2 linked regions of the Macaca fascicularis genome follow. The protein of the gene in region 1 binds, or shares a complex with, the protein of each later gene. Links are inferred from orthologs where the notes say so. Each region holds a gene or a part of one and is shown on either strand. Other genes may lie near its edges.

Region 1 (4,246 bases):
AAAATGGTCCAAGCCCCACGAAAGCACGCTCCCTGGCAGTCCCATTTTGGATCTCAAGCTTCCTCAAACACCAGTGAAAAGAAAACCACAGTCAGCCCACTGACTGCATCCCCGAGCGCAAGGACAGAAGTGGAATTGGAAATTCCTCTAATTTGCAAGTCTGTCCTCCACGGCCTCCCATTGCATCCATTAAAGAGTGGCCCTCACAAAGCTCAACCCGTGTGCACCTGAGCCCGCTCAACCGGCAAGTCCGTGGTAAACCAGGGGAGACTAGCAGGGGGAGATGATTAACCCAAATAGTGAGCAGTAGTCTTTAAGTGAATGAAGGCAGCTGTTTCTAACGGGAGGTGTCCCCAAGGCCTACACTACCGTAGAGGGAGGACTCCAGTGGGCAAACCCCCAGGCCCCAAGGTGAGTGTGGACTGCGTTTCTGGGCTGGAGCTCCGTGCCGCTCCGCAGGCAGGAGGATGCGCAGAGAGAAAAGAGGGTGCAGAAGACAAGACGGTGCTTTGCCTTTCTGCCCCTCGAGGCCATCCCCGACTCTGCAAAGGGGGCATTCGCTGCCAGTCCCCCGAGAGGGATCCCCGAGAGCGACGAGGGCTCCCGCGCCCTGCTCCACGGCGCACGACGGGACTAAGGGACCCGCTGCACCAAAAACGGGCGCTCCAGCCGCCCGGGGACAGGCGGCTGTAACCAAGCAGAGCGGAGACCTCGAGGCACGTTCCTCTTTTTCTTGATTCAGATAACCTCCACCTCCGGGTATCCAGGAGCTGACGAATGAGAGGACAGAAAAACGGGGAATTCTCTGTCCTTAGGGGAGCGAGGGATGAAAAGCCAATCGCCCCCTTTCTTCCAGACCTTCCCCGGGCTAGGGCAGGACTTGGCCTCCACCCCCAGGGAGGGAGCAGGACAGCTACGAGGGAGTTCGGGGCTGCTGCCCAGGGGAGCTGCAAGAGAGGAGAGGGAGGCAGCTGGCCTCTGCCCTCCCCAGAGGAGAGAAGAGGGGGCTTGCCAGCTGAGGGCTGGAAGTGGAGGGTCGCCGAGCCTCACACCGTTACGTGCGGTGATTTATTCTCGTTATCAATGGCCAATATTGTTCCTGTCTTAACCTGGCCAGAAAGGGGCGGCTCTGGGGCTGCCAGCCGCGAACAGCCTGCAAAAGGGCAAAGATGAAGGTAGGCAAGGCGCGCGAGACAGGAAAAAATCCGCCCAAGCGCGAACTGCAACCCGGCCGCCGACCCGCCCCCGCCCCCTCCCCGCGTCCAGACCCCGGCAATCCAATCGAGCAGAGCAGCGGAGGGAAGGGGCCACGGTCGGGGCTAGGGGAGACACGGATCTCCCCTAGTCGCCTGCGCCCTGCCCTCTCACTGCACCCAAGGAGGCTGCCTCACGCCGGCACCGAAGGGCTGCCCGCGCCCCAGCCCCGAGAACGGGGGAGGGCGCCCCCGACCCCAGAACGCAGGCTGCTCCCCACATCTTCAGTCCTCCGCGGCCAGCCTCCGACTTCCATTCCCCGAAACCTAGCCTTCCCAAAGGGGTGGAGAACAGCAAAGCAAACCCCCACCTTCTGAGCTCCTTCAATACCCGCCAGAGCGAGGGGGCTCATCCCGGGTCCCCCAAAACCCACAGAAGCATCCTTTCCATGGCCTCAGTCTCCCCAACCGCCCTACAACTCGAATTCTCCCGATCGGCGACGAGTCAGCAAAGGAAATACCCCTTCCTCCCGATTCCAGCTCCCCAGGCCCCCCAAAACGGAACGGGAGCAGATCCCCGCGTCCCCCAGCCCCTCCCCGGCCGGCCCCTGCCTCCACCTTCCTCGACCACCAGCCAGCCTCCCTAAACAGCGCCCAAGCCAGCGGAGCAGATCCTTCTCTACTCCCCGGGCGCCGGGCCACCCTCCACCCTCTCCAGGGTCTCCCGGACGGGCGCCGGAGGTCCGCGCCCAGGCGACAACTCTGCATCCCCAACGCGCGCCGGCCGGGGCCGCGTCCCCTCGGCGGCCGGCACTCACCGGGGAAGCACACGACATAATGGAGCACGGAACTGGTGATTTTCAGGAACAAAATCCACCAACACGGTTCCAGTAACCTCCGCATGTCCGAAAACGCACATCGAAAAGAGGAAAGCAGGGGGATAAACTTGTTGAATAAGTTCTTGCCTCCGTGCGAGCCTCCGCTAAGCCGGGGCGCTTCCCCGGCTCGCCCGCTCCACGGGCCCCCCGCGCTCGGCGGCCCGAGTCCCCTTGGAATCCGGGAAGCCGCCGAGCGCCCCCCGGAAAATCTCAAAAAGTGACCGGGAACGCAGAGCCACGCTGGGGACGATCCTCTCGGCGGAGAAGGGCTGCTTTCCGTTCAAAAAGGAGAGAGCCGAGCGGACAGGGCGCGGAGTCGGCGGCCGGCGGCGATGCCCCGGGCCCGGGGCAGGCAGGGACCGCAGGCGGCGGCGGCGGCGGCGAGCAGCCGAGGATCCCCAACTTGAGTCGGCAGCGCAGCACAGCCCGAGAGCCGGCGGGCGGCGGCAGGGCTGAGCGCGGCGCGGCGTCTCCGGGCTTCAGGCAGGCAGCTCCTTCCAGGGCCCCGGGAAGGAAGGAGGCATGTTTGCGAGAGGGGAGGGGAGGGGAGAGGCGGGGGGAGCGGAGAGCCCCCCAAAATAGAAACGGCCGGAGGAAACGGAGGAAAACACAAAGGATCTCAGAGGGGCGCTGGGGCGAGGGCGCCTTCAGTCCATGCTCCTGAAAGTTGTGGCTCCGGCGCAGGCTGGGGAGGAACGAAGAGCGCGGGGCTGGAAACTGGCCATGCCTCCATACAGGAAGTAACATGTGAGCATGGATCCTGGCAGAGACTTTAAAGCCGGCGAGCGAACGAGCGAGCGAGCAGGGGGCGCGCGGTGGTGGCGGGGGCGCGCAGCCCGGGCCAGCTGGCGGGCGCGCGCTCTCCGCGCTCTTAAAGCAGCCGCGCTCGGCTCCCGCCTAGCACGGGGTCCCTCGGCTCCGCTCTCTCCGCGCGGCACCGGTGGCTGCGGCCTCTACTGGGACAGTTTGAGGACTGGGGGCGATTGTAGCCCGTGCTCGGAGAGAGAAGGGAGGCTGCCTTCTGGAGCCGGCGTGTCTTTTGCAGGATTCCCGTTGTTTGAGCTCTTAAAAGACGCCGCACGTTGCTCGGGTTTGGCGAGATCCCCCGTCCGCGTAGCTCGCGGATCCCGGGCCCCTGGCCCGGGCGCGGGGAAAGGCGGAGGGCGGACAGCTGCCTTTTTAAAGCGATGGGGTTTCCTGTTCGGCTTCACCTCCTGGCAGTTGCCGCGGTGGGGCTCACCCGTCCGCGGCCCCTGTTCGCGCCTCCAACACAGCGCATTCCCCCGCCGGGAAACAAAGCCGAGCGGCCTTTGCACTCCTACTACGTTGAGATTTAATTTTTTTTTTTTTTTTTCCTTTTCAGGCTTTCATTGGCCCAGTCCAAGGCTGGGGAAAGTGGGGGAGGGGAGGAATATCGAACCCAGGATTGCGAAATCTAGCCCTTCCGAGCCCCACATCTCCTTTCTCCGCGCCACGATGGATCGGTGGCGGAGTTTCCCCAACTCACAGCTTCTCTGGAGAAGGTTCCCGCACCCCGGCTTAGCCGCGGGGAGAGCGCAGGAAGTGCGCCTCTTACCCCCTGCAGGGTGAAAGCATTGCCGCGGGGCTGTACTGATTTCCTGGCAGCCACCCGGGGAGCTGCTGCTTCTTTAGCAATCTGGGAGAGGCGTCCGGGGGAAATGGGAGGACTAGGCTTATCTGTAATGAGTTTTGTCCCTTAGCTCTCGGTCAGAAGATCTTTATCGCTTAGACTTCTAAGCGCCCTATTTTACATTCTTACGCTGGGGCTAAAAGTGGGGGAGGCGGGCTTTTGATTAAATGTGTAACTGAGCCAAGGTAATTAGCCGATGGAAAATTTTTGCCTAGTTTTTCTGCCCGTGTTTCAAAGCGATCTTGACGTGGGATTGTTTTGTTTTCTGACGGAGTCTCGCTCCGTCGCCCAGGTTGGAGTCCAGTGGCTCGATCTCGGGTCACTGCTACCTTCGCCTCCCGGGTTCAGGCGACTCTCCTGCCTCAGCCTCCCGAGTAGCTGGGACTACAGGCGCCCGCCACCACGCCCGACTATTTTTGTTGTTGTTGTTGTTGTTGTTGTTGTTTTGTTGGTTTGTTTGTTTTGGTAGAGACGGGGTTTCACCATATTGGCCAGGCTGGTCTCGAACTCCTGACGTTGTGATC
Region 2 (3,563 bases), about 17 Mb from region 1:
CTAAAGAGGATTTGAAATCATGTCTTCAGGGTTGTCAATTCCAAAGGAATAGCTCTGGGTCATTTAGATTTGGGTAGAGACTTTTGAGTCCCTCTATGATCCCAAATTATAATTAGCACAAAGGTAAGCTAACAAATTCCCTGACAGGCAGGCAGGAAAAATGCTCCCAAAAGACAAGTATCTTTACAAATGACAGAATATTTATTAACAATACCTTTAAAAAAGATTACATATGCTAGATCACTGGTAAATATCATTTACACTGGGGTTGGGAACTCCCTGGGTGTCATTTTTTTTTCATTCATTTTATTATTTTGTTGATTTTTTTGCATGTGATTTTAAATTTTATTTTATTTTAACATAGAAGTAACCATATCAAACTAAGAAAGGAACACAGCTTGAAATACTGACAATATATTTTTTTTCCGGTTACCACCCTAGTTTTTACACAAATGGAATCCTGATTATGACTTTATTGGATAAATATAAGTAGAAGGTTGAAAAGTTATATTATTTGTAAGCAAAAATGACAAATTACAGCAGATTTGAGTTCTCTGAGAAAGAAGAAAAGGTGGCAGCATGTTTACATGAGAAAATGTTTATAGAAAATTTCATTGCCTTTTATGTCACTGTTCCACTAGCGTTTGCTTACAAAACCTTTCCCATTGTAACAAATAGTTCTTTTCATAAGAATACAGTTTTGTTGATATTGTCATTTTCCAATGTGTGATTTTAAGAGTTAGAAGGTAAAGTATATAAAGCAACTAGGCTACCTATTGCAAAACAGAATCATCAAGAAACCATACCATTGTACTAAAGATCTTTTATAGAGTCATATTAAAAATTCTTGGCCGGGCGCGGTGGCTCAAGCCTGTAATCCCAGCACTTTGGGAGGCCGAGACGGGCGGATCACTAGGTCGGGAGATCGAGACCATCCTGGCGAACACGGTGAAACCCCGTCTCTACTAAAAAATACAAAAAAAAAAAAAAACTAGCCGGGCGAGGCGGCGGGCGCCTGTAGTCCCAGCTACTCGGGAGGCTGAGGCAGGAGAATGGCGTAAACCCGGGGGGCGGAGCTTGCAGTGAGCTGAGATCCGGCCACTGCACTCCAGCCCGGGCGACAGAGCCAGACTCCGTCTCAAAAAAAAAAAAAAAAAAAAAAAAAAAAAAATTCTTGCAGCAACTATTTGTTGAAATAGGAGAAATCTTCCAAACTCCATATGTAATTTTGATTCAAAAGAAGGGCTCTATTATTACAGAGATACACATATTATATATAAGAAATTTTGTAAAGAAATTACGAATCCATTGACAGAGAATTACTTTTTTTTAAAATTTACATTCAAAATAGATACAGTTAAAGATAATAAAATTATCTTTTATCCTTTGAAAGACTTGGTTGACTATAGTAACTTTTGGTCTATGTTACTACAGGATATATGTTACTTCAAATTTAATGTCTAAGATAGTGCTACTACAAAGACAATGCTAACTTAGTTGAGTGAAAAGAAAATCTTACTGTACAATGCTAAATTCAGGGATGGGAATATTGCACAAGGTGCCTCTTGGGCAGTAAATTTAGCTTTTGAGATTGCAGCCATTCCTGAAACCATCTCAAGTTGTATTGAACAACAAAATTCACAACGGCATGGGGAACATATTGTACATGTCAAAAGGACTTGATTCAATGCATTAACCACTAGAAGAGTAATTTGCATACAGCAGCCTTGAGTTATAGACCAAGTCTTCAGCTGTTCTGCCACGAGATCCTTGTAAAACTGTACAAGTAATTTGCAATTTATTTGCCAAGATGAGTTTCAAACTCTGTCTTTAAAGGAAATATTTTCAAATTATAATTGCATGATTGTGTTGTCCATAGCATTTTACAGCTGAGGAAAAACAGTAATATCTACATTATGTGTTAACTTTAAAAAATTCTATAAAACACTAAATATGTAATAAAAAATATGCATATAAGGACATATGTAAACTGCTTTGGTAACATCATATTACAGATGTCTTCAGTGCATTGCAGAGTTTCCAAAGAAACTTCAGACAAAGCTAGATTTGCTTTGAGGAAGTACTGTATAATGCCATTCCTAAAGAAGCAAAAAACATTTTTATTCCAGTAATAAGATGTACTTGAACAACAATATTACTTAGTACTGGGTGTCTTCAAAACAACTAGCTAAATGTTGCTTATATTATAAACAGCAAGTCCTTGAGATAACTTTTGTCATAAACTGGACCTAGCTGTGAGGGAAATCATTATTGTACTGATGGCTGACAGCGTACATGCATTCGAAGTGGAAGCCCCGGATCCTCTTGCGTAGGCATCTGAAAAGAGAGAACAAATTCACTCAAAACAGCCCCATCCTGGCTTCAAAGGGAAGAGCGGCCACGGGGCTTTCTGAAACAGCAGAACTGCGTGGATTCTACTAGAAATGATGATTAAGATCTTAATGGCTTTTAAATATCAGTTCTATGACTATCTAGCTACGAACCTGCGAGTAGGGTAGAGGACAGCCCTGTACCTCTGTCAAAGCATTTGTAAAATAAGGATGTTCCCATCTAATGTGAGAAGAAACTTCAATATTACTAGTAACAGTACTGATAGATACCATGCCACGTCAATGATGCAACAAAATGAAAATTGCTACTCCCTTTTGAACTCTATGAAAATTGCTACTCCCTTTTGAACTCTATGAAAATTGCTACTCCCTTTTGAACTCTGCGAAAATTGCTACTCCCTTTTGAACTCTTTGTGCTGGGCACAGATGAATATGACACTTAAATCTTGCAAAAACTGGATGAAGGCTAGGTATTATTACCTCACTTAACAGATGTGGTAATTTGTGCCCAGATCACCCAGCTAGTAAATGGCTGAACTGGGGTTCAAACCCATGTCTGTTTAAATCTACCCTTTTTCTCCAAACAAAATAGCCTCAATCCTTTTTACATTTTCTTATGGGTCTTACATTTTTCATAGTAAGAAGCTATCAACTGTCATTCGGGGGCTCTTCAATCTTGTAAGATCTCTTTGACCAACCTAATGAAAAATTCCTTGAAACAGATCATGTTTGGCTCACAGTCACTTCCTTGTTACCTAATAATTACACCAATATAATTGCTTAATATATGTTTTTGTAATGAATAAAACCAGGAATCATCAGTCTACCTAAAAATACCAATCCCTGCAATGATAAGAAAGCATGAAGTACAAAGTCAGATTTTTAATGAAGTGAGATAAATAAATCCCAGTCTTGTATTTTCATGGCCTGGAGATTACTTCCACATCTCACCAAAAATCTGGCTCCCTTTCAACAGAAGTTAGAGGCTTTGTTTGATGAAGTGTAGAATCCATTTGTCCCTGCTTTTAAGACAAAAATGCCTTTTGTGTTTGTATGAAAAAAAAAAAATGCAGTAAATATAAACTCCATCCAGAAACACTGGCCTATCACCCCTTAGCAGAGGGATGTTACATGACTAAAAGTCAGGATGGTGGTGAGGATTTTGTCCATAATTTAAAATATCATCTCTTTACCGATGTCTTGAAAATTTAT

Evidence for each region. The genes of interacting proteins can lie anywhere in the genome.
Region 2: the proteins of PTPRG (region 1) and CNTN4 are in contact, whole or in part, in a crystal structure (PDB 3KLD), measured with the Mus musculus proteins. The link is inferred for Macaca fascicularis from reciprocal best matches to the Homo sapiens genes PTPRG and CNTN4. Residues at the interface, in NP_033007.2 of Mus musculus: Lys222, Val225, His226, His227, Lys229, Phe288, Thr290, Gln293, Asp294, His295, Val296, Lys297, Ser298, Val299, Glu300, Tyr301; in NP_001103219.1 of Mus musculus: Thr128, Arg129, Ser130, Val132, Ser133, Arg135, Gln138, Gly139, Met140, Val141, Leu142, Leu143, Cys144, Gly145, Val219, Met220, Gly221, Glu222, Tyr223, Glu224, Pro225, Lys226, Glu228, Leu250, Asn304.

The regions. Positions count from the first base shown.
Region 1 is NC_088376.1:124,648,994-124,653,239, reverse strand, and holds the start of PTPRG (receptor-type tyrosine-protein phosphatase gamma), read right to left. Parts: upstream 2,819-4,246; 5' UTR 2,097-2,818; coding exon 2,012-2,096; intron 1-2,011.
Region 2 is NC_088376.1:141,285,973-141,289,535, reverse strand, and holds the end of CNTN4 (contactin-4), read right to left. Parts: intron 2,338-3,563; coding exon 2,237-2,337; 3' UTR 181-2,236; downstream 1-180. UniProt on the Homo sapiens protein: Contactins mediate cell surface interactions during nervous system development. Has some neurite outgrowth-promoting activity. May be involved in synaptogenesis.